Linked DNA regions of Arabidopsis thaliana. Changing the gene in region 2 together with the main gene of any one other region gives a genetic interaction. Each region holds a gene or a part of one and is shown on either strand. Other genes may lie near its edges. The genes, in order: HUA2, LD and ELF3.

What was found.
Region 1: of LD (region 2) and HUA2, changing one suppresses a phenotype caused by changing the other (phenotypic suppression), as found in Arabidopsis thaliana (one study listed by BioGRID).
Region 3: of LD (region 2) and ELF3, changing one suppresses a phenotype caused by changing the other (phenotypic suppression), as found in Arabidopsis thaliana (one study listed by BioGRID).

What each region holds. Positions count from the first base shown.
Region 1 is NC_003076.8:7,784,003-7,792,033, forward strand, and holds the start of HUA2 (Tudor/PWWP/MBT domain-containing protein), read left to right. Parts: upstream 1-1,832; 5' UTR 1,833-2,170; coding exon 2,171-2,281; intron 2,282-2,689; coding exon 2,690-2,766; intron 2,767-2,989; coding exon 2,990-4,717; intron 4,718-4,789; coding exon 4,790-5,306; intron 5,307-5,536; coding exon 5,537-5,645; intron 5,646-5,856; coding exon 5,857-5,969; intron 5,970-6,048; coding exon 6,049-6,236; intron 6,237-6,367; coding exon 6,368-7,049; intron 7,050-7,151; coding exon 7,152-7,638; coding exon of another isoform or gene 7,639-7,646; exon of another isoform or gene 7,647-7,814; coding exon 7,815-7,910; intron 7,911-8,007; coding exon 8,008-8,031. Other genes in the region: NCLPP7 (nuclear-encoded CLP protease P7), read left to right, coding at 1-115, 406-824. UniProt on the Arabidopsis thaliana protein: Transcription factor that functions as a repressor of flowering by enhancing the expression of several genes that delay flowering including FLC, FLM/MAF1, MAF2 and SVP.
Region 2 is NC_003075.7:1,122,776-1,130,082, reverse strand, and holds LD (Homeodomain-like superfamily protein), read left to right. Parts: upstream 1-1,592; 5' UTR 1,593-1,830; coding exon 1,831-1,995; intron 1,996-2,288; coding exon 2,289-2,316; intron 2,317-2,469; coding exon 2,470-2,600; intron 2,601-2,729; coding exon 2,730-3,097; intron 3,098-3,191; coding exon 3,192-3,285; intron 3,286-3,369; coding exon 3,370-3,463; intron 3,464-3,560; coding exon 3,561-3,690; intron 3,691-3,785; coding exon 3,786-3,819; intron 3,820-3,894; coding exon 3,895-3,938; intron 3,939-4,027; coding exon 4,028-4,116; intron 4,117-4,351; coding exon 4,352-4,948; intron 4,949-5,083; coding exon 5,084-5,598; intron 5,599-5,854; coding exon 5,855-6,427; 3' UTR 6,428-6,608; downstream 6,609-7,307. Other genes in the region: CUL1 (cullin 1), read right to left, coding at 1-9, 92-277, 452-551, 638-768. UniProt on the Arabidopsis thaliana protein: Seems to play a role in the regulation of flowering time in the autonomous flowering pathway by repressing FLOWERING LOCUS C expression.
Region 3 is NC_003071.7:11,057,063-11,063,824, forward strand, and holds ELF3 (hydroxyproline-rich glycoprotein family protein), read left to right. Parts: upstream 1-1,881; 5' UTR 1,882-2,396; coding exon 2,397-2,615; intron 2,616-2,815; exon of another isoform or gene 2,816-2,977; coding exon 2,978-3,774; intron 3,775-4,954; coding exon 4,955-5,006; intron 5,007-5,096; coding exon 5,097-6,116; 3' UTR 6,117-6,262; downstream 6,263-6,762. Other genes in the region: ALPHA-VPE (alpha-vacuolar processing enzyme), read right to left, coding at 6,434-6,616. UniProt on the Arabidopsis thaliana protein: May be a transcription factor part of a circadian clock input pathway. Acts within a 'zeitnehmer' feedback loop and is involved in its own circadian regulation. Has no role in regulating circadian clock function in the dark.

The DNA.
Region 1 (8,031 bases), on a different chromosome or scaffold from region 2:
ATTAATGACGACACATCTCACGTCGTCGTCGCTCAGCTTCTTTACCTCGAGTCTGAGAATCCTTCGAAGCCGATCCATATGTATCTCAATTCCCCTGGCGGCCATGTCACCGCCGGTACGCTTCCGCTTTCCATTTTCTATCTTTAGCTTCGTCAAAATTCGTACTAGTGTGATTCGGAATCAGATCGCTATATGCCACTGCTTTGTCAATTACTTGATATAGTTGAAACTTTGATACTGTTCGTTGATACTTGTTCTTCTGTGGATTTGTAACTTGATTCCTGCTACTAGTTTTAATGTCCACAGTCTCAAGAGTGTCTGGTTTGTGACGAGTTAACACTTTCTGAGTCTCAAATTGTTTGTTGTGAGTCTGTGACGCATCTTTAATCTTTGTCTTTGATACAGGTCTTGCAATTTATGATACTATGCAGTACATTCGTTCTCCTATTAGCACAATTTGTTTGGGTCAGGCTGCATCAATGGCTTCTCTTCTGTTGGCAGCGGGTGCCAAGGGGCAAAGGCGGTCACTTCCAAATGCAACTGTTATGATTCATCAGCCTTCAGGAGGATATAGTGGACAGGCTAAAGATATAACGATTCATACAAAACAGATTGTTCGTGTGTGGGATGCGTTAAATGAATTGTATGTCAAACACACGGGTCAACCTCTTGACGTGGTTGCGAATAACATGGATAGGGATCATTTCATGACTCCTGAAGAGGCTAAGGCGTTTGGAATAATCGATGAAGTGATTGATGAAAGACCGTTGGAGTTGGTGAAAGATGCAGTTGGAAATGAAAGCAAAGATAAGAGTTCAAGTTAGGAAGTAACTGGTAATCAAAGTAATAAATTTTCTTCTTTTCCTCTTACCAGTTTTGCTTTGATCCTGTTAGATTACTTTTTTCTATGGATGAAGTTATGCTCTGAGGGCATGATCTCTCAAACTGTTTTTATTCATTCATAAATCAATCATGACTATATTTCTGAAATCTTTTCCTCGCATGTTTAGTGTTTACAGTCTCATATCTGATTCAGTAAAATGAATATTGGATTAACGCTTGGCTTTGGGTCTTAATTTTATGTGCAGTTTGATGCATTGCAAATCTTTGATTTATGCATCATTTTATACTAACTAGAAAGTCTAAAATGATGAGATTATTGTCTAGTTTCAGAAACCCCAGTTCTAGTTGGTTAGTTTATGTTAGAAGATGGGGTTTGCTGTTTCCTTATGCTCTTGATCGATGTTCTTCGGTTTCATGTTTTTGCTTACCTCATCAAGTCAAAGCCACATCTATTCTGATTTGCCTCTTTTTATATAGAAGAAGTTAGAACACATCATATTCTTGTGTTAACACTGGTCTTTGATTATGCTCTTTGAATTAGGGACAGAATCTTAAGATCTTTATGAAAATTCTTGTACGGTGTTGTCTTGTCGTGTTGAGCTGAGCCTTCAATTGCTAGTGTTTGCTTCTGTTACTCTGAATTATATTTGGACAATCTCACTCTAATAAAAGTTTTTTAAATACTAGCAGAATTGTTAATTTATCCTATGGTTTACATGTTTATATGATTTTGTTGGTTCTATAATGTGTAAAAATGGAAAACATGATTTTTTTTTCCTTTTTTTTAAAAGTATAAATGGAAACGTGTAGGAAAGTGTAAACAAGAAAAGAGGACATAAATGACCCAATGACTTAATAATATATTTGGTTGAGACTTAGGAGTAGTGAGATTAAACTACAAAATAAGGTAAATTGGAAAATAAGGAAAAACCTTTTTCGATTTCGATCTCTCCTTGGTGAAAAAGGAAATTGAAAGGGGAAAAAACGCCGACAACAGTAAACCAAACTTCTCACAAAAACTCCTTGGAAAGTTTTCACCTTCTTTCAGCCCTAACCCCATCGTCTCTCTCTCGCGACCGCCTCATCTCTCTCTGTCTGGATCAATCTCGCTCTCTCTTTCTCTCGGCTACGTCGCTGTTTCTCGTTTCGTGATCCGTAGCTGTCTCCGCTACTACCTTAATCAGCGAGCTTCTTCCGGTGGAATAATCTTCGGATAGGAGGAATCGGAGAATTCTTCTAATTGGGTGTCTGGGTTGGATTGGAATACGTAATTCTGTTGGGTGTTCCAATTTCGCGTTCAAAATTAGGGTTTATAGAGGTCTCGCCTATGGCTCCTGGGCGTAAAAGAGGAGCGAGCAAGGCCAAAGCCAAAGGGCAGTTGGTTCTCGGTGATCTGGTTCTCGCCAAAGTCAAAGGCTTCCCTGCTTGGCCTGCCAAGGTGCGTTATCATTATGATTCCTCTATTGGGTTTTAATTTTTCTTACACAGATTCTTGTTTTTTTTGCTTCTTCTCTAATTGAATTCTCATATAGTCCTTAAGTCCATAGTCATCATCTTTAACTTGTTGGGTCTTCTGTTTTTATCGTTACGAATTCTAGAATACACATTAACTTCGTCGAATTGAGCTCTAGTGTGTTCTGTTTCTTTTTGTTGAGATACTAGGCTTCATGATTAAGTTGGTTTGAAAGTCAGTTAACTCATCTATCTAGTTACTCGGTCAGATTCCATGGTTGAATTATGAAACACACATGTTATTCATCTCGATAAATAATGAGCTTCCGAATCTCTCTAATACAATTCTCTTTAGTTAGTCTCTCTTGTGAAGTAATTTGGTTTTGAGTTTCAGATCAGCCGGCCTGAAGATTGGGATCGTGCGCCAGACCCAAAGAAGTACTTTGTTCAGTTCTTTGGAACAGAGGAAATGTAAGCTATTCTCTTTTATTCTTTGATTCTGGTACCTTCTCATCCAGAAAGGTATATGAACTTTAGTCAGTATATCATGTTGCTAGGAATTAAGTAGTAGACCTCGGTTATCAGGTGTTTCAACATGTTACCAAGTGTTTTTCTTTTTGGCTGACAATATCTTTGGAGTTGATTTTGTCTTTTACAAACTGATCATTGACAAAGTTATCTTCCTTTACTGCAGAGCTTTTGTTGCGCCACCTGATATCCAAGCCTTCACTAGTGAGGCAAAGAGCAAACTATTAGCAAGATGTCAAGGTAAAACTGTCAAGTACTTTGCACAAGCTGTAGAGCAAATCTGCACTGCATTTGAAGGGTTGCAGAATCACAAGTCAAATGCTTTGGGCGATGAGGATTCTCTGGATGCTACTGAACCTGGTTTGACAAAGGCTGAGATAGTGGATGGAACAGATCATATTGTCATTGAGTCTGAGAGAACTGATAACTTTAATTTTAGGGTGGATCCTTGCTTCCCCAAATTAGATGAGAATAATGGTGAGGAGAGAAAGGCTGAGATAAGGAAGCTAGATTCATCTTCATTTCTGGAATCAAAGGTCAAAACCACATCCCCTGTTAGCGAGTCACTGGAGCATAGTTCATTTGACCCTAAAATAAAGAAAGAAGATTTTGATAAAGGAACTGACGGTAGTGCTTGCAATGAACATTTTGGTAATGGCCAAAAGAAGCTGGCTAACGGTAAGAGAATTAAGAAGGAAGCAGGTGGCTCTGATAGAAAAGGTGAAGATACAGTTCATCGAGACAAAAGCAATAACTCACATGTGCCTGGTGGTCGAACTGCCAGTGGTAACTCTGATTCCAAAAAATCGAAAGGTCTGTTGACAGAGAAAACCAGCTCCAAAGTGTCTGCTGATAAGCATGAAAATTCACCTGGCATCAAGGTTGGGGTTTCCGGAAAGAAAAGGAGGCTTGAAAGTGAACAAGGTAAGCTTGCACCAAGAGTAGATGAAAGCTCACGTGCTGCTAAAAAGCCGCGATGTGAAAGTGCAGACAATAAAGTAAAGTGTGAAATTGATGATGGATCTGATTCTACTGGGACTGTATCAGATATTAAGCGTGAAATTGTTTTAGGATTAGGTGCTCGCGGTGGAAATTTTCAATATGATAAAGAAGCAGTTGCATATACAAAGCGCCAGAGACAGACAATGGAGCATGCTACCTCTCCTTCTTTTTCTGGGTCTCGTGATAAATCTGGGAAAGGTCATCTGGAACAGAAAGACCGTTCCTCTCCTGTTCGTAATGTTAAGGCTCCAGCTGCACAGTCGCTGAAAAAACGGAGGGCTGTTTGTATCTACGACGAAGATGATGATGAAGATCCAAAAACCCCATTACATGGAAAACCAGCCATTGTTCCCCAAGCAGCATCTGTTTTGACTGATGGTCCTAAAAGGGCTAATGTGTGTCACAGTACTTCTACAAAAGCTAAGATATCTGCTGGATCTACAGAGAGTACTGAAGTAAGAAAGTTCCCTCTGCGTAAACATTGTGAGGATGCATCACGTGTATTACCAAGCAATGCGGAGAATTCTACTAATAGCTTACCTGTGGTAAAACCCATTAATGAATTGCCGCCAAAGGATGTCAAACAGATCTTGCAATCTCCGAAGATGTCCCCTCAGCTGGTTTTAACTAACAAGCACGTTGCAGGACAGCATAAAGTTGTAAAATCATCGGTGAAAGTTTCTGGTGTTGTGATGGCAAAGAAGCCTCAAAGTGATTCTTGTAAGGAGGCGGTTGCGGGATCTGACAAAATAAGCTCTTCTCAGTCTCAGCCAGCAAATCAGAGACACAAATCAGCTTCAGTTGGAGAGAGGCTAACAGTGGTTTCAAAAGCTGCATCACGTTTGAATGACTCTGGTTCAAGAGACATGTCTGAGGACTTGTCTGCTGCTATGTATGTCACATTCTATCTGTCATCTTTTTGTGTGTATGTCGCCTACTGCTTATAATTATTCTTTTCTTGCAGGCTTGACCTCAATAGAGAAAAGGGGAGTGCTACATTTACCAGTGCAAAGACCCCAGATTCGGCTGCATCTATGAAGGATCTAATTGCTGCTGCGCAGGCAAAAAGAAAACTTGCACATACACAAAATTCAATTTTTGGGAATTTGAACCCTAGTTTCTTGAGCATCAGTGATACACAGGGGAGGAGCCATAGCCCATTTATGGTTCAGAATGCTTCAGCTTCTGCTGCCATCTCAATGCCGTTAGTTGTTCAAGGTCATCATCAACAAGGTTCTTCTCCGTCAAATCATGGGCATCAGTCCTTATCAAGAAATCAGATTGAGACTGATGATAATGAAGAGAGAAGACTTAGTTCAGGGCATAAGTCAGTTGGAGGTTCACTTAGTTGTAGCACTGAGGCTGCTATTTCTCGGGATGCTTTTGAAGGCATGTTAGAGACCTTATCAAGAACCAGGGAAAGTATTGGACGTGCAACTCGCCTAGCAATTGATTGTGCCAAGTATGGGCTTGCTAGTGAGGTAAGATGGTTGGTTGGTTTTTCATTATGTTTTTTCTTAAGGCTTCGACAAACTTATTGTTAGGCTGCACATATCAAATCAATTTAGAATTGCACTTATTCTGGCTTTACTTCTTGGATGTTTAGCTTGCTACGTAAATTGCTTTCTCAAAATTATTTACAGCATTTGGTGCGTAATATTGTTCAGACAATAGTTGCTTTAATTGGAAATTTGTTTGTGTTTTTATCTAGGTGGTGGAACTTCTCATACGAAAGTTGGAAAGTGAATCTCACTTCCATCGTAAAGTGGACTTGTTCTTTCTCGTCGACTCTATCACCCAGCATTCGCACAGCCAAAAAGGTGAGCTTTCCTCTTGGATAGATGCAATACCTGTTCTCAAATTTTCACTTCCTTCCCTGAAATGCTAATAATACCGTATTTATTAGCATTTCAGGGAAGTAAAAAATTCACAAGCATTGTTGTATTGTTTTTTACTGTATACAAAGAGAACACCTAATATATTTATTATCATTAAAGATTAAATAATTTCCAGTGCTTGTGAATTTTGTAGGTATTGCTGGTGCTTCTTACGTTCCTACTGTGCAAGCTGCTTTGCCACGTCTTTTAGGTGCCGCTGCTCCTCCAGGGACTGGTGCTAGTGATAACCGTCGTAAATGTCTGAAGGTATTTAAACTATTTGCTTGTTTCTATGTTATCCTTACAGTTTTGTAGGCTGGAGTCAGTGACCTCTTTGTTTTTTTAGGTCCTGAAGTTGTGGCTTGAAAGGAAAGTTTTCCCTGAATCTCTTCTGCGTCGTTATATTGATGATATTAGAGCTTCTGGTGATGATGCAACTGGTGGGTTTTCCCTGCGACGTCCTTCTAGATCTGAGCGTGCTGTAGATGATCCTATCAGGGAAATGGAAGGGATGCTTGTTGATGAGTATGGCAGGTATGCTAAACGATTGTCTTGCTTAGTAGTGTACTCTCCGGATTATATATGTTGCTGATGAAAAAATAACAGGCAAGGTCTGTTGCCATTCTGTAGAGGGTTTATTAACTTGTTTGTCGTTTTTTCTGCAGCAATGCAACGTTTCAGCTGCCAGGGTTTTTTTCATCTCATAATTTTGAAGATGATGAAGAAGATGACGATCTTCCAACATCACAAAAAGAAAAAAGCACATCTGCGGGGGAACGTGTCAGTGCTTTAGACGACCTGGAAATACATGATACCTCGAGTGATAAATGCCATCGAGTTTTGGAGGATGTCGATCATGAACTTGAAATGGAAGATGTATCAGGCCAGCGGAAAGATGTAGCACCTTCCTCTTTCTGTGAGAATAAGACAAAGGAGCAATCACTGGATGTTATGGAACCTGTTGCAGAAAAATCAACCGAGTTCAATCCTCTTCCAGAGGATTCTCCTCCGCTACCTCAGGAATCACCTCCCCCTCTCCCTCCTCTACCACCTTCTCCCCCACCTCCATCCCCTCCTCTCCCGCCATCATCTCTGCCACCACCGCCTCCCGCAGCGCTGTTCCCACCTCTTCCACCACCTCCGTCTCAGCCTCCTCCACCACCACTTTCACCTCCACCTTCACCGCCGCCTCCACCTCCACCGCCTTCACAATCATTAACAACTCAACTCTCCATAGCTAGCCATCATCAGATACCATTTCAACCAGGATTTCCTCCCCCAACATATCCTTTATCGCATCAAACATACCCAGGATCTATGCAGCAAGACCGCTCTAGTATTTTCACCGTGAGTTCTTTGATTTGTTATGTTTCATTTTACTCATGATTCCTCACTATACATATGCATCTTTTATCATTTTTGTTTAAACCCCCTGGACATCATGTGCAGGGTGATCAAATTGTCCAGGGGCCTGGAAATTCTTCACGTGGAGGTCTTGTTGAGGGCGCTGGAAAACCCGAATATTTTGTGCAGCAGTCCTCCAGTTTTTCACCAGCAGGAGTGTGCAGCTCCAGGGAGCCTTCATCATTTACTTCCTCCAGACAACTAGAATTTGGGAACAGCGATGTACTTTTCAATCCTGAAGCTTCTTCACAGAACCATCGGTTTCAGCCGAGCACCCCTCTGTCCCAAAGACCTATGGTTAGGTTGCCTTCAGCACCGTCCAGTCATTTTTCGTATCCAAGCCATATTCAATCACAATCTCAGCATTCCTACACTCATCCTTACCCTTTCCCACCTCAACGTGATGATGCACGGCGATACAGAAATGAGGAACCATGGCGGATTCCTTCAAGTGGACATAGTGCAGAAAATCAGAATGGTGCCTGGATACATGGAAGAAATTCACATCCAGGCCTTCCTAGAGTCACAGACAGTATGTAGATGCTTAAATCCTAATAGACCCTTTACCTGTTAAGGTTTATTAACTTGCATGATTGCTTGTGGAGTTGTAATCATTGTGATACTTCTGTTGACTATGATTGTCTAGCTTGTATGTTAATGCCATGGCTTAGTTCCTTGAAATTGATGGTCTTATTTGCAATTCTACAGGTTTCTTTCGGCCACCTCCAGAACGTCCACCTTCAGGGACAATGAACTATCAGCCTTCTGCTGCTAGTAACTTACAAGCTGTCCCTGCAATTCCAGGTGAGACTATATTAGTCAATTCGTCTGATTGTAGACTCTCAAAGATACAGTCAGAAACCTTTGTGCTTACCCTACCATTTTAAATTACCAATTTAAGGTCATACTGCTCCCCAGATGCTAC
Region 2 (7,307 bases):
ATTATAAACCTGAAGCGAACAGAATCAAGGAAAAGTTAAAAATATTTCAATACAACTGAAAGCTATAAAGCCACAGGAATGAATGCCATACCAGGTCACGGAAGCATGTCAGGCCAACTTCATTCAGTGGTGGAAGTGATCTCCGAGCAATGAAGTAACGGTCAAGGTAGTAGAAGAAGCGGGATAGCCATCTGACCATTACTTTATGGTTTGACCATCTTTTAAATAGCTCCCGCAGCATAAACTCATCATGCTTCTCCCTCAACGCAGGCAAAACCTAACCACAGACAACAAGAGAGCAAACATTCAAAACCGTTTGAATCAACTTAAAACCAAGAGGGGACAGGACTTCTTGACATATGAAACCATGCACAAAAGTGGCATCTTAAAATTCAGAGGTAGTAAAAACGAGAAGTTTATAAGAAAGAAACTAAATATCAATCAGACTCACTGTTGAGTTAATATATTCCTCAAATGCTTCCCGATACTTGTCATAAAGCTGCTGTGAGTAATCATGAGGAGGTTTCTGGGTGCACATGTTGTAGATAGTCCTGAGAATCAAATAAATTCCCCATCATAAGTATCAGGACAAACAGCCAAACCGCTATATAAGGTAATAAACAAGTATAAAACCTACGTATAAAGCATCATATATTGCTCAGAGTCAAATGCTGGCTCATTCAATCCTTCCAGAATCCGTTTCAGCTTAGTAATTCCAGTCTGCATATAGTCCCATCCTTGCTCCAAGTCAATAGTCTTGCGCTCCATGTTGACAAACAACTTTTCAAGCTCTCCTCAACCTAAGTTAACCAAAGAACAAGGAGAAAACCAAAATTTAGAACAGCAGTATTAAGCAACACAATGAAATGACTGAAGCGAGAGAGTCAACAATATTTATCATTCTTCAGAGGTTATAATAACACGTTAACACCCACATTATCGAATGCGAAACGAGTATTATCACCCAAATCAAACCCAAACTATCAGATTGTGCGCAAACGAGGACATAAGCATCAGAATATACTCGAGAAACAATCAATCCATGAGATAAACACGAAATTACACAGTAGAAACGCAATCCAGAGACTCCGACGTAACCCTAACAATCTCGATCCCACAAAAATTCAAATAAAAACCTAGAAAGACGAACAATCAACAGAATGATAAAAAAATCAACTGTCGTATGGAACAAAACAAGCGAGAATCCGACAGAAATAGTGATACCTCGAGATCTTAAACCCTAATAATCAGAAAATCGCGTCGCCGTACCCCAAACAGACCCTGACGATTACCGATTCCCGATTACACAGGATCGGCGAGAGCTGCTGCGATCGAAAAAGAAGCGAGAGAGAGAGAGAATCAAAACCCTAAGAATCGTTCAGGAAAAAAGCGTAAAATAGAGAGAAAGAGAGACGAGACCTATGAGAAGGGCGGTGAAAAGATATCTCAGGAAACAAACTCGTTCTCTTCTATTCTATTATTTTCAGGTCTTATAGATTTAATTATTTTTATTTTATGTCAACTAATATATTAGTATAATATTAAACAAATTTAATTTCTTACCTTTTCAGAGATCTACATCAAGACGCTGCGTTTTATAATTTTTCTTTGTAAAGTAACTTATTTACTTTTATGCCCCTTTATTTTGCCTTCCTTACTCAAACCCTAACCCGAATCGGCTTTTTGACAATCCGAAATTAGGTAACCATGTTCATTGAATTTATCGTTTCAACACATTCGAATCACTGAGTCCTACGTTTCAGTTTAATTCCCTGATGCACATTTTGAATTCGGTTTGCGTATTGGTCTTCGAGTTTTCCGTCGGCGGCCATGGACGCGTTCAAGGAGGAGATAGAAATCGGGAGCTCGGTGGAGTCTTTAATGGAGCTATTGGATTCGCAGAAGGTGCTTTTTCATAGCCAGATCGATCAGCTCCAAGATGTCGTCGTTGCGCAATGCAAACTTACCGGCGTTAATCCCCTTGCGCAAGAAATGGTGGGTTATTGTTTCTATGTTTTTTGGTATCTAAAGTTCGTGTTTTATTGGGGTATGGTGATATGGGCAAAGCTGAGAGGGACAGGTCATTCGGATTTTGGAATAAATTCTTTGAAGGGTATTGAGTCTAGCAAAAATTAGAGGTGTTTTTGGTATAAATTCATATAGCTCGACCTCTCCGTTTCTTCTGTGAACTGTAATGGTGATGCTTCAACTGTTTATATGTCATTTCTCTGATCAAGTAATCATCTCTGTTAAAGACATTAATCTGTTTAATTTTTTTGTTGTTTCAGGCTGCTGGTGCTTTGTCCATTAAAATTGGTGAGTCATCTTAGGATTCGTGAGATCTTTTGGCATAATTACGTATATCACAGAGAATGTTTCAATTCATTGTTGCTCTCTAGGTTCATTAAAGGCATACCCAACTTTTACGTGCTCGATGCCTAGTATCTGATGAATTTGTAAATATTTCAGGAAAGCGGCCAAGAGACTTGTTGAATCCTAAGGCTGTTAAGTATCTACAAGCAGTTTTCGCAATTAAAGATGCTATTAGTAAGAGGGAATCTCGGGAGATAAGTGCTTTATTTGGCATCACAGTCGCCCAGGTATTGTTCTTCTACATGATATGTACTCTTTTTTGCCATGCTTTTAGAATTCCATGTCAGTTTAGATCTGTCATGTTGAGGTACTCATGAGACTTTGGTTTGTCTCTTTATTATTTTCTTCAATGGCAGGTTCGAGAATTTTTTGTTACTCAAAAGACAAGAGTGAGGAAACAGGTGAGGCTTTCAAGGGAGAAAGTAGTTATGTCCAATACGCATGCTTTACAAGATGATGGTGTTCCGGAAAATAACAATGCCACAAATCATGTTGAACCCGTTCCCTTGAACTCTATACATCCGGAGGCATGTTCTATAAGCTGGGGTGAAGGTGAAACAGTGGCACTTATTCCACCTGAAGATATTCCACCTGACATCAGCGATTCAGACAAATACTTTGTTGAGAATATATTTTCTCTGCTGCGTAAAGAGGAAACATTTTCAGGCCAGGTGAAACTAATGGAGTGGATCATGCAGATACAAGATGCTTCTGTGCTGATCTGGTACTAGTTGGGGGTTCTCTTTCACCCACTGTCTTATTTTATTTTATTGTTATTATATTCCCGTCTTGACAGTCATTTTCTATATGTGCCACAGGTTTTTATCAAAAGGAGGGGTTTTGATACTTACAACATGGTTAAGTCAAGCTGCTAGTGAAGAGCAAACAAGTGTCTTACTTCTTATCCTGAAGGTACGAGATTAATTTACTTGCAGCTGGATGGCTGTAAAAATATGCAGATTGTTTTATTATGGATAATTGACATTTAACACGCAGGTTCTTTGTCATTTACCTCTCCACAAAGCATCTCCTGAAAATATGTCTGCCATATTACAAAGCGTTAATGGACTTCGTTTCTATAGGATATCAGGTGTAATTTCTGAAAAACCTAAATGCTGCGTAGCTTTCATCAATGCCAAAGTTCTTGTTGTGATTTATTCGATTTCATCATCTGATTTGAAGATCAGACATATCAAACAGGGCAAAAGGTTTGTTATCAAGGTGGACCAAGTTATTTGCGAAAATCCAAGCTATGAAGAAACAAAATCGTAACAGTTCGCAAATTGATTCGCAGAGTCAATTGCTTCTGAAACAGAGGCAAGTTTTGGTTTATGTGTCGAATAATACTTATTTTACCTCTCATTTTGTTGTTTAGTGACATTTTACTCATAGACTTCTGTCTTGTTATGCAGTATTGCTGAAATCATGGGTGATAGTAGCAATCCTGTAAGTGGTGCAAAACATGAATTTATTTCTATTACGTGCATCAGTTCCTTAAAACCGTTTTTCGTGTCGTAACAGGAAGATATTCTTAGTCTCTCAAATGGAAAGTCAGAGAATGTCAGGTATCAGTTTGATTGTTAAATTCCATCTAGAACAGGTTCCCTTTTGATAGTTAGGTGGTTTCATAATTACTAGTTATCTTCTGGTACAGGAGGATTGAATCGTCACAGGGTCCAAAACTGTTGCTTACTTCTGCAGATGATTCCACCAAGAAACACATGCTTGGTTCAAATCCATCGTGTATCCTTTCGTTTGAGCTCTTTTATTAAAAAGCACCAGTTGATTTACATTTTCTCAATGCATTGGATAAGTTAACGTATTGAACTTGTTGGCTACTTCTGTTATTTAGTCGGTATTTTACATGTGAAACCTGCTATGTCAAGAGAGCAACCAAATATTCCACATCATGTTATAGTCCTTTTCCTAGCTCAGGATAATCCTTCACTTCAAAGTTAGTTTCCTTAGCTTTCAGCAGATAACAAAGAACGCAGGAAAGTACAGATGGTGGAACAACCAGGCCAAAAAGCTGCTGGAAAGAGTCCGCAGACAGTAAGAATAGGAACTTCAGGTCGAAGCCGCCCAATGTCTGCTGATGATATTCAGAAAGCAAAGATGCGTGCCCTTTATATGCAGAGCAAGAACAGTAAAAAGGATCCTTTACCAAGTGCCATTGGTGATTCGAAAATCGTTGCTCCTGAGAAGCCCTTGGCTCTTCATTCAGCCAAGGATTCTCCACCTATTCAGAACAATGAAGCTAAGACTGAAGACACACCTGTACTCTCGACTGTTCAGCCCGTCAATGGATTTTCAACTATTCAGCCCGTCAATGGACCTTCAGCTGTTCAGCCCGTCAATGGACCTTTGGCTGTTCAGCCTGTCAATGGACCTTCGGCTCTTCAGCCCGTCAATGGACCTTCGGCCGTAATTGTCCCGGTACAAGCTGATGAAATTAAAAAACCTTCAACACCTCCTAAAAGCATTTCTAGTAAGGTGGGAGTTATGATGAAAATGAGTTCACAAACTATTCTCAAGAATTGCAAGAGAAAACAGATTGATTGGCATGTACCACCAGGTAATATCATTCGTTGGATTTATATCTCGTTGGCCACTTATTGAATAAGCTGAATGTGACTCTTTAGGGTCTTCTTTGGTTCACTTCTATTTTGGTGGTTAGTTAGGACTCATTCTAATGCCTAGTTTTCTTCAGGAATGGAACTTGACGAACTCTGGAGAGTAGCCGCTGGTGGTAATAGCAAGGAGGCTGATGTTCAGAGAAACAGAAACCGGCGAGAAAGAGAAACAACATATCAGTCTCTTCAAACTATACCGTTGAACCCTAAAGAACCATGGGATAGGGAAATGGACTATGATGACAGTTTGACCCCTGAAATTCCATCTCAACAGCCACCAGAAGAAAGTTTAACGGAACCACAGGATTCACTTGATGAACGAAGAATTGCTGCTGGTGCTGCCACAACCTCTTCATCTCTAAGCAGTCCTGAACCTGATCTCGAGTTATTAGCTGCGTTACTTAAGAACCCAGATCTTGTTTATGCACTAACTTCGGGAAAACCCAGTAATTTAGCCGGCCAAGATATGGTAAAACTGCTTGATGTGATTAAGACTGGTGCACCAAACTCAAGCAGTAGCTCAAATAAACAGGTTGAAGAAAGGGTCGAAGTTTCCCTTCCATCTCCCACTCCATCAACTAATCCTGGAATGGTGCGTTACTTGAAACCTATTCACCCCAAATTCCTCGGACATATCCAAAACCCTATTAATAGATCATGTTGCCAAATTGAATCTCACGACATATAGAAAAAAGGAAAGAACTACAACAGGCTCTAGCTAACACCAAACTGGATTATGAATTCCAGCTGTTAGATCTAACCTGATGAGTACAATGCCCCCATTAGAAGATGTTAATGTCTGTTTCTTATTCTCTTACTGAGTTAAGTGTATTGTTCCAATTTTACAGAGTGGATGGGGACAAGAAGGGATTCGGAATCCATTTTCAAGGCAAAACCAAGTTGGTACTGCAGTTGCTAGATCGGGTACACAGCTTCGTGTTGGTTCAATGCAATGGCATCAAACAAATGAACAATCAATCCCACGACATGCTCCATCAGCATACAGTAACTCGATCACATTGGCTCACACAGAAAGAGAACAGCAACAATATATGCAACCAAAACTTCATCACAATTTACATTTTCAACAACAACAACAACAACCAATCTCAACAACCTCGTATGCAGTTAGGGAACCAGTAGGACAAATGGGAACAGGTACATCGAGTTCATGGAGGAGTCAGCAGAGTCAGAACAGTTACTACTCACATCAAGAAAACGAGATTGCATCGGCTTCACAAGTTACTTCATACCAAGGGAATAGCCAGTACATGAGTAGCAATCCAGGATATGAATCATGGAGTCCTGATAATAGCCCAAGTAGGAACCAGCTTAACATGAGGGGACAACAACAACAAGCATCAAGGAAACATGATTCTTCTACTCATCCATATTGGAACCAAAACAAAAGATGGCGTTAAACCATATATAAGACTATGGTTCTTTGGTCCTCAATATTTGCTTGTCATGGTTGAATTAGCATTATACTCTGTTCAGACACAGATTTTCATTTTTAACTCACAACAGATTCATCAGAGATAATAAACTAAAAGAAAGAATGAATGGATAAAGTTATTACTGTCTCAATTGGCTTCAAGGCTTTTCAAAAACAAGTCTTGTCTTCATCATTATTCGACTAATTCCAAATCTGATTCAATTTAGTAACAGTAACACTGGCTAAACTGGACTGCTTCGGTAATTGGAGATTTTGGTATACAATATCCATTTCTGTGAAGATTGATAGAATGTGGATACTGTTCTTATTCGTACACAATTTTTGTTTACAAAGGGAACACTATATACTGTTCCTATTGGTACTCTCAGTTTAAACCGATATCTTAACCGGTTGGGATGGATAACCGGGTTTACTTTTGATAACTAAAAGAACCCAGCATATAGTTTAAGGCCACAATCTCAACTTGCAAATACAGAGTTAACAGCCGTTTAATTATCGTTCTTATGATTTGTTCTTTGTTAAATGATAGGTCAAAAATTATTTATGTCTTTTCTAATTTCATAACTGTGAATGTTTATTGAATCCACATTACTCGTCACCGAACTAAGTAAGCAGTCTCTAAATTAAGACGGTGATAGACAGTGCTCTTCATAAATCGTTCATAAGTCGTTCAAACTTGTATTAGCCAAATCATTCAAAAAACATAATTAAGAGATCCAAAAACAGAAGATTAAAATTAAGAATAACAGATTAATGAGAGAAAGAGCCAATTAGTCAGATAATTGTAGTCTGAGTTTTGGTCGACAGAATAAATTAATATATCCGAAAAATCGTTATCATCATTC
Region 3 (6,762 bases), on a different chromosome or scaffold from region 2:
TTTTTTTCTAAAAGCCATGAATATAAACACAACAACTAATCAATCTCCACAATATATATTATATATTAACAAAAAGTGTATTGGTGATAAAAAGTACTTGATGATACACTAAACAAAAAGGATAAATGGGAGAATTTTTTATTTTGAAAGATGAAACATTTTAGGTTATATATTTCATGACCCTTATAAATAAAATTCCTGGCTCCACCACTGGATATCTCTACATATTTCCAACATCAATATCCATTGATATTTGATAATCTTTACCAAAAATTCGCAATCTCCTTTAGAGTGAAAGCGAGTATAACCGTATGACCAAACTATTTTGAGTACCATTGGTAATTCCTTACCTTAAGCTTCCAGAGGTATTAGTGCTATATATTCATAGTGCCACCGAGTATTTTGAACTCCGAAATGATTTCTCACTATCCGACCACTCCCAATTATATAACATGCTTAGAATTATTCGTAAGATGGATCGTAGTTGCATTTTACGACACCATACAGGACAAGTCCATGATAGTTTGAGTTGGTGGATTTTGGAACCCCTGCAAATTTATTTTATACATAACAAAGGCCCCAATCCATTCCTTAGCATCACAACTTGGGACTTCTATCTTTTGAAGGATACATTCACTTGTTGGTTTTGGTAAATATGATTGTTTCTTTACTTCCGAATAAGCAATATATAAAAGTATCTAAAAACGGAAGTAACTTTTGATGATCCTAAAGGTTTTGTAATTGATACATGTCCAAAAACCTCTTAATATTCTTTCTCACAAACTGTTGATGGAGTTAACAAAGGGAGACAAGGTAATTGGGACAATATCAACGTTAGATACAGGACAAGTGAAAAATGTGGGGTTGATGTCTTCAGCTGCAGCATATCACCGTTGGTATATATTGTCAATTATTAGTCCTATGGATTTGAAACGTGTTTTAGTAAATAAGAGTGTCCAAGTGGGACATTTCCAATAACGTATCACAGCTCCTAGAGCTTTTGCTATGTTTCTCTAGGCCTGGGCCGCCTAGCCCACATTCCAAGCAAGGAAATGAATGGAGTTGGGCATCAAAATTTTGGAAGCATTTTTAAGACAAATTATCTTTTAAGTTTCCTTTTTTAAACATAAACTATATTTTAGGCTTTTTTAAGATAAATATTATTTGGATTTTCTTTCACTCATATTTTTGGATTTCAACTTAACAAAACATAGGGCGTGTCTATTTGACTCCACCTACCCACCCTACTGGAGTTCGATCCCACTAAATCGCGTTATCCCGCATAGTAGGGATTGACTATGGATCGGACTTTGTCGATCCAAAGATATCTAAGAAATTCAGAAAAGATTGTATAAAATTCAGAAACGATTTTACGAAATTCATGAAAAATGAGAAATACATGTTTTTTTTAATTTACGTCGGCATTAAAAACGTTGGACCGGCTCTGTGTTTCACCAAAGAAATTGTTTCAGTTTATGCATGATCTTCAACTTCCATATTCTTGTTTTCAATTCTGGAAATCCCTAACAGATCGGAGCTCTCCTCATTCAGTGAGTTGGAAGATTGCATGATTATATAATTACTCTTCACATCCACATATATTACATTATATTCCCCTATAATTTCATACAACCCTAGAAAAGAATCTTCAAGTAATCTAATCGTGTCGATGACTCCACTCATTTGCTAGAAAAGAAAAAACAAACAGACTTCATTTAGCTGAAAACAATCTTTTATTCAACATTACAAAGCACTGATCAAAGAACCTCTAACATGGTAATATATCTATGACATTTTACGTATCCTAAAAGAAAACAAAAAGTGATGTATTGGATGATGTTTTTTTTTTTTACTTTCTAGTTTCTTATTACAACGACAAAAAGAGTCCACGTCGTCACGCACTTTTCCGGTGGTGAAAAAAATGTCCAAATGGATTAAATCTATAATATCTCCAGAGAGATCCTCTCCTTCTATCTTTTTGGGCTCCACTTTTCCTATCTCTTTTTGCCCCTTTCCTCTCTCTGTTCACAAGTCATCTTCTTCCTTCCTCTGAATCTTGTTCCTTTTTGCTCTCTCTACTTGATTCACCCACTCTGTTTCTCGATTAGTACGTTGAAAACTCACTTTGGTTTTGTTTGATTCCTCTTTAGTCTGTTTTTCGATTTCGTTTTCTCTGATTGGTTTGGTGGTGAGATCTCTATCGTAGTTTGTCCTTTGGGTTAAGATATTTCATTTGATTGGTGGGTTTGTTTTATTGAAGCTTATTGTTGTGAAAGTTGGAGTCTTTCTCAGTTTTTAGGTTGAATTATTAAGAGAAAGGGAAGATTTTTGGTGTGAAGTTAGGTTATTTGGGGTTTGAGAAGTTTGCAAGTGAAAAAGGTTGTGAATTGTGAGTGATGAAGAGAGGGAAAGATGAGGAGAAGATATTGGAACCTATGTTTCCTCGGCTTCATGTGAATGATGCAGATAAAGGAGGGCCTAGAGCTCCTCCTAGAAACAAGATGGCTCTTTATGAGCAGCTTAGTATTCCTTCTCAGAGGTTTGGTGATCATGGAACGATGAATTCTCGTAGTAACAACACAAGCACTTTGGTTCATCCTGGACCATCTAGTCAGGTATTGTTTTGATTTTGATCATTGTATAGGCTCTTGATGTTATTAGTTGTATGAGTTTGGATGTTATATAGCCTGAAAGAGAAAGTAGGACATTGGTTGATCTATGTTTCAATTGTTATCAGATCATAGTATCTTCTTTTTGCTTATGGATTGAGCTTTTAGGATTGAATTCTCCTGTATATATGAGAGTCTTGTAGACACAAGTTTATCTAAGTGTGGTTTATTTCTTAAAACTAACATTCTTGTTGTGCCTGATTCTTTTTATGTTCTGAAGTTCGATGAAAGTTTCTTGTGATTGCCCTGAGCATTCAGACTATTGCAAGGACATGAGAAATAATCCTTTTTTACCCTCTTCAATGCAGCCTTGTGGTGTGGAAAGAAACTTATCTGTCCAGCATCTTGATTCTTCAGCCGCAAACCAAGCAACTGAGAAGTTTGTCTCCCAAATGTCCTTCATGGAAAATGTGAGATCTTCGGCACAGCATGATCAGAGGAAAATGGTGAGAGAGGAAGAAGATTTTGCAGTTCCAGTATATATTAACTCAAGAAGATCTCAGTCTCATGGCAGAACCAAGAGTGGTATTGAGAAGGAAAAACACACCCCAATGGTGGCACCTAGCTCTCATCACTCCATTCGATTTCAAGAAGTGAATCAGACAGGCTCAAAGCAAAACGTATGTTTGGCTACTTGTTCAAAACCTGAAGTTAGGGATCAGGTCAAGGCGAATGCAAGGTCAGGTGGCTTTGTAATCTCTTTAGATGTATCAGTCACAGAGGAGATTGATCTCGAAAAATCAGCATCAAGTCATGATAGAGTAAATGATTATAATGCTTCCTTGAGACAAGAGTCTAGAAATCGGTTATACCGAGATGGTGGCAAAACTCGTCTGAAGGACACTGATAATGGAGCTGAATCTCACTTGGCAACGGAAAATCATTCACAAGAGGGTCATGGCAGTCCTGAAGACATTGATAATGATCGTGAATACAGCAAAAGCAGAGCATGCGCCTCTCTGCAGCAGATAAATGAAGAGGCAAGTGATGACGTTTCTGATGATTCGATGGTGGATTCTATATCCAGCATAGATGTCTCTCCCGATGATGTTGTGGGTATATTAGGTCAAAAACGTTTCTGGAGAGCAAGGAAAGCCATTGCCAAGTAAGTTCACTAGAAATTTACAGTTTGGTTATTTATTCTCCGCTCTTTCTATTTATCTCCTTCTTTGATACCAACATTTTTTGCTTGAAAGAAGTTAATATTTAAGCATTGTTCCGTAGTCTTACTGAAGCTTTTTCCTCTGTTGTTTTTTGCTATTTTCATTGAGGACTGTGGTAGGGCATATTTCACTATCACCAAATTTCAAATTTCTAGAACACTCTCCTTCATATTTTTTTTCATGATTAATGCTGCAATTGATTGCTGATATACATATATGACTATAACTCAGTTTCATATTCTGTCTCATTTTGGGAGAAAGAGATTTCAGGTTTATGCTTGAGAAGTGATGGTTCTATAGTTGAGAGGCCCCTGATTCATCTAAAATGGTCCTATTATGTGTTTAGTTGTAGAGTCCTCGGTAGAATATTAACGCGTTTAACACGTTGGATCATGTTATAGCAGGGAGGGACATTCTCTGTTGACCTATATTGTGCAAGGTGCCCGCCGATGGCTTTATTACTATACCTTCTTTGCATCTGGTTGTTGGAACATGTCCCTGTCTCGGTTTGGTATTGCTTTTATTCTGCACTGTCGTCTTGGGCATTTTCCCTACTTGTCATTCAAGGGGTTGAACCAGGTAGGGAAATGTTTTTCCGAGGACCCCAGGATCTAAATTTTAGTTAACCATACGTAAAGTTAGTTTTGAGTCTTATGACGATGCAGAATTATAGTTTCTTCTTACTACTGCTTAAGAGGATCCTTAGTGTGGTTGTGAACTACAGAGTTTTTATGATTGTAGGCTTCATGACTTAACTTTTAAGGTTCAATGTACTCTAATCCATATGGTAAGGTATCGGATTCACGACCAATGCAAATAATAAGATTTTTATTTCTTGCTTCTTGTTAAATATCTGACATCTCATTTTGCAGAGGATAAGCTGCGCTGTAAGCTAGATTTCAATAAGCCCGTCCTTTGCATTGTTATCTATGCTTTAATATGTCATTGGACCCATTGATTTGGTTTTCTTCTATCTTTTTTGATTGGCTATGTATTCTTGTTTCTTTTTTCCTATCTCATTTCGATCGTATTGTTCCATTAGCTGTTCAACCTAAACTATGTCTCTCTTTGTTGAACTTTTGATGGATAATCTTCTTAATGTGACTCTGTTTCTCATTACAGTCAACAAAGAGTATTTGCTGTTCAACTATTTGAGTTGCACAGACTGATTAAGGTAAAGTCATTCAGAAACTTCTCATATGTTTCCATGAGTATTTGTTTCTTCTCGAGCTGAAACAAACCTCTTCAACTGTGTAATAATCAGGTTCAAAAACTTATTGCTGCATCACCGGATCTCTTGCTCGATGAGATCAGTTTTCTTGGAAAAGTTTCTGCTAAAAGCTATCCAGTGAAGAAGCTCCTTCCATCAGAATTTCTGGTAAAGCCTCCTCTACCACATGTTGTCGTCAAACAAAGGGGTGACTCGGAGAAGACTGACCAACATAAAATGGAAAGCTCAGCTGAGAACGTAGTTGGGAGGTTGTCAAATCAAGGTCATCATCAACAATCCAACTACATGCCTTTTGCAAACAACCCACCGGCTTCACCGGCTCCAAATGGATATTGCTTTCCTCCTCAGCCTCCTCCTTCAGGAAATCATCAGCAATGGTTGATCCCTGTAATGTCTCCCTCGGAAGGACTGATATACAAGCCTCACCCAGGTATGGCACACACGGGGCATTATGGAGGATATTATGGTCATTATATGCCTACACCAATGGTAATGCCTCAATATCACCCCGGCATGGGATTCCCACCTCCTGGTAATGGCTACTTCCCTCCATATGGAATGATGCCCACCATAATGAACCCATATTGTTCAAGCCAACAACAACAACAACAACAACCCAATGAGCAAATGAACCAGTTTGGACATCCTGGAAATCTTCAGAACACCCAACAACAACAACAGAGATCTGATAATGAACCTGCTCCACAGCAACAGCAACAGCCAACAAAGTCTTATCCGCGAGCAAGAAAGAGCAGGCAAGGGAGCACAGGAAGCAGTCCAAGTGGGCCACAGGGAATCTCTGGTAGCAAGTCCTTTCGGCCATTCGCAGCCGTTGATGAGGACAGCAACATCAACAATGCACCTGAGCAAACGATGACAACAACCACAACGACGACAAGAACAACTGTTACTCAGACAACAAGAGATGGGGGAGGAGTGACGAGAGTGATAAAGGTGGTACCTCACAACGCAAAGCTCGCGAGTGAGAATGCTGCCAGAATTTTCCAGTCAATACAAGAAGAACGTAAACGCTATGACTCCTCTAAGCCTTAATCCTCTCTATGCGTATTGTACTTGATATGTATTTTACAAAATTAGAAAAATTGTGATAGATGTTATCCTCAATATATGTACCATGTAAACGTATTATGGTGTAAGCCTCATTTATATGTGTTAATTTGTCTTAAAGCCTTGAAATCACTTGAACAACAAAGATTATTTGAAACAACTACTTACAATCACTGTTTCTTTTGTCTGTGACATCAAGAACTTAAGCATCCCATATTTACAACATCTTGTCTACATAGGAAGGAGTATAATTGGTAGTAAGATATTAATGGACATCGATTAATATAGGGCGGAGACGAAGATCAAGCACTGAATCCACGGTCAAGAGAGCTCCAAGGACTGGTAGGGATGGTGGGACAAGCCTGCATTGCTGCCTCCTCCATTTGCCTCATCTGAATCCCTGCGTTGCACATGTTTGCAATCGACCTCATGTGCTTTATTCCGTACTGAGACAACGATCCACAGTGCCTCTCGAAAGCTCTCACCTAACAACCACATAAAGGAGAATAAGAAAGTGATCATCACAAGAAGCTTAATCATCTAATGAGGACTGAAAGTGATTTTTTTCCGACATATCATATCGTATCTAACGTCCTGAGTCTTGCATCCTCTGGCCAATACCATTGTTTAA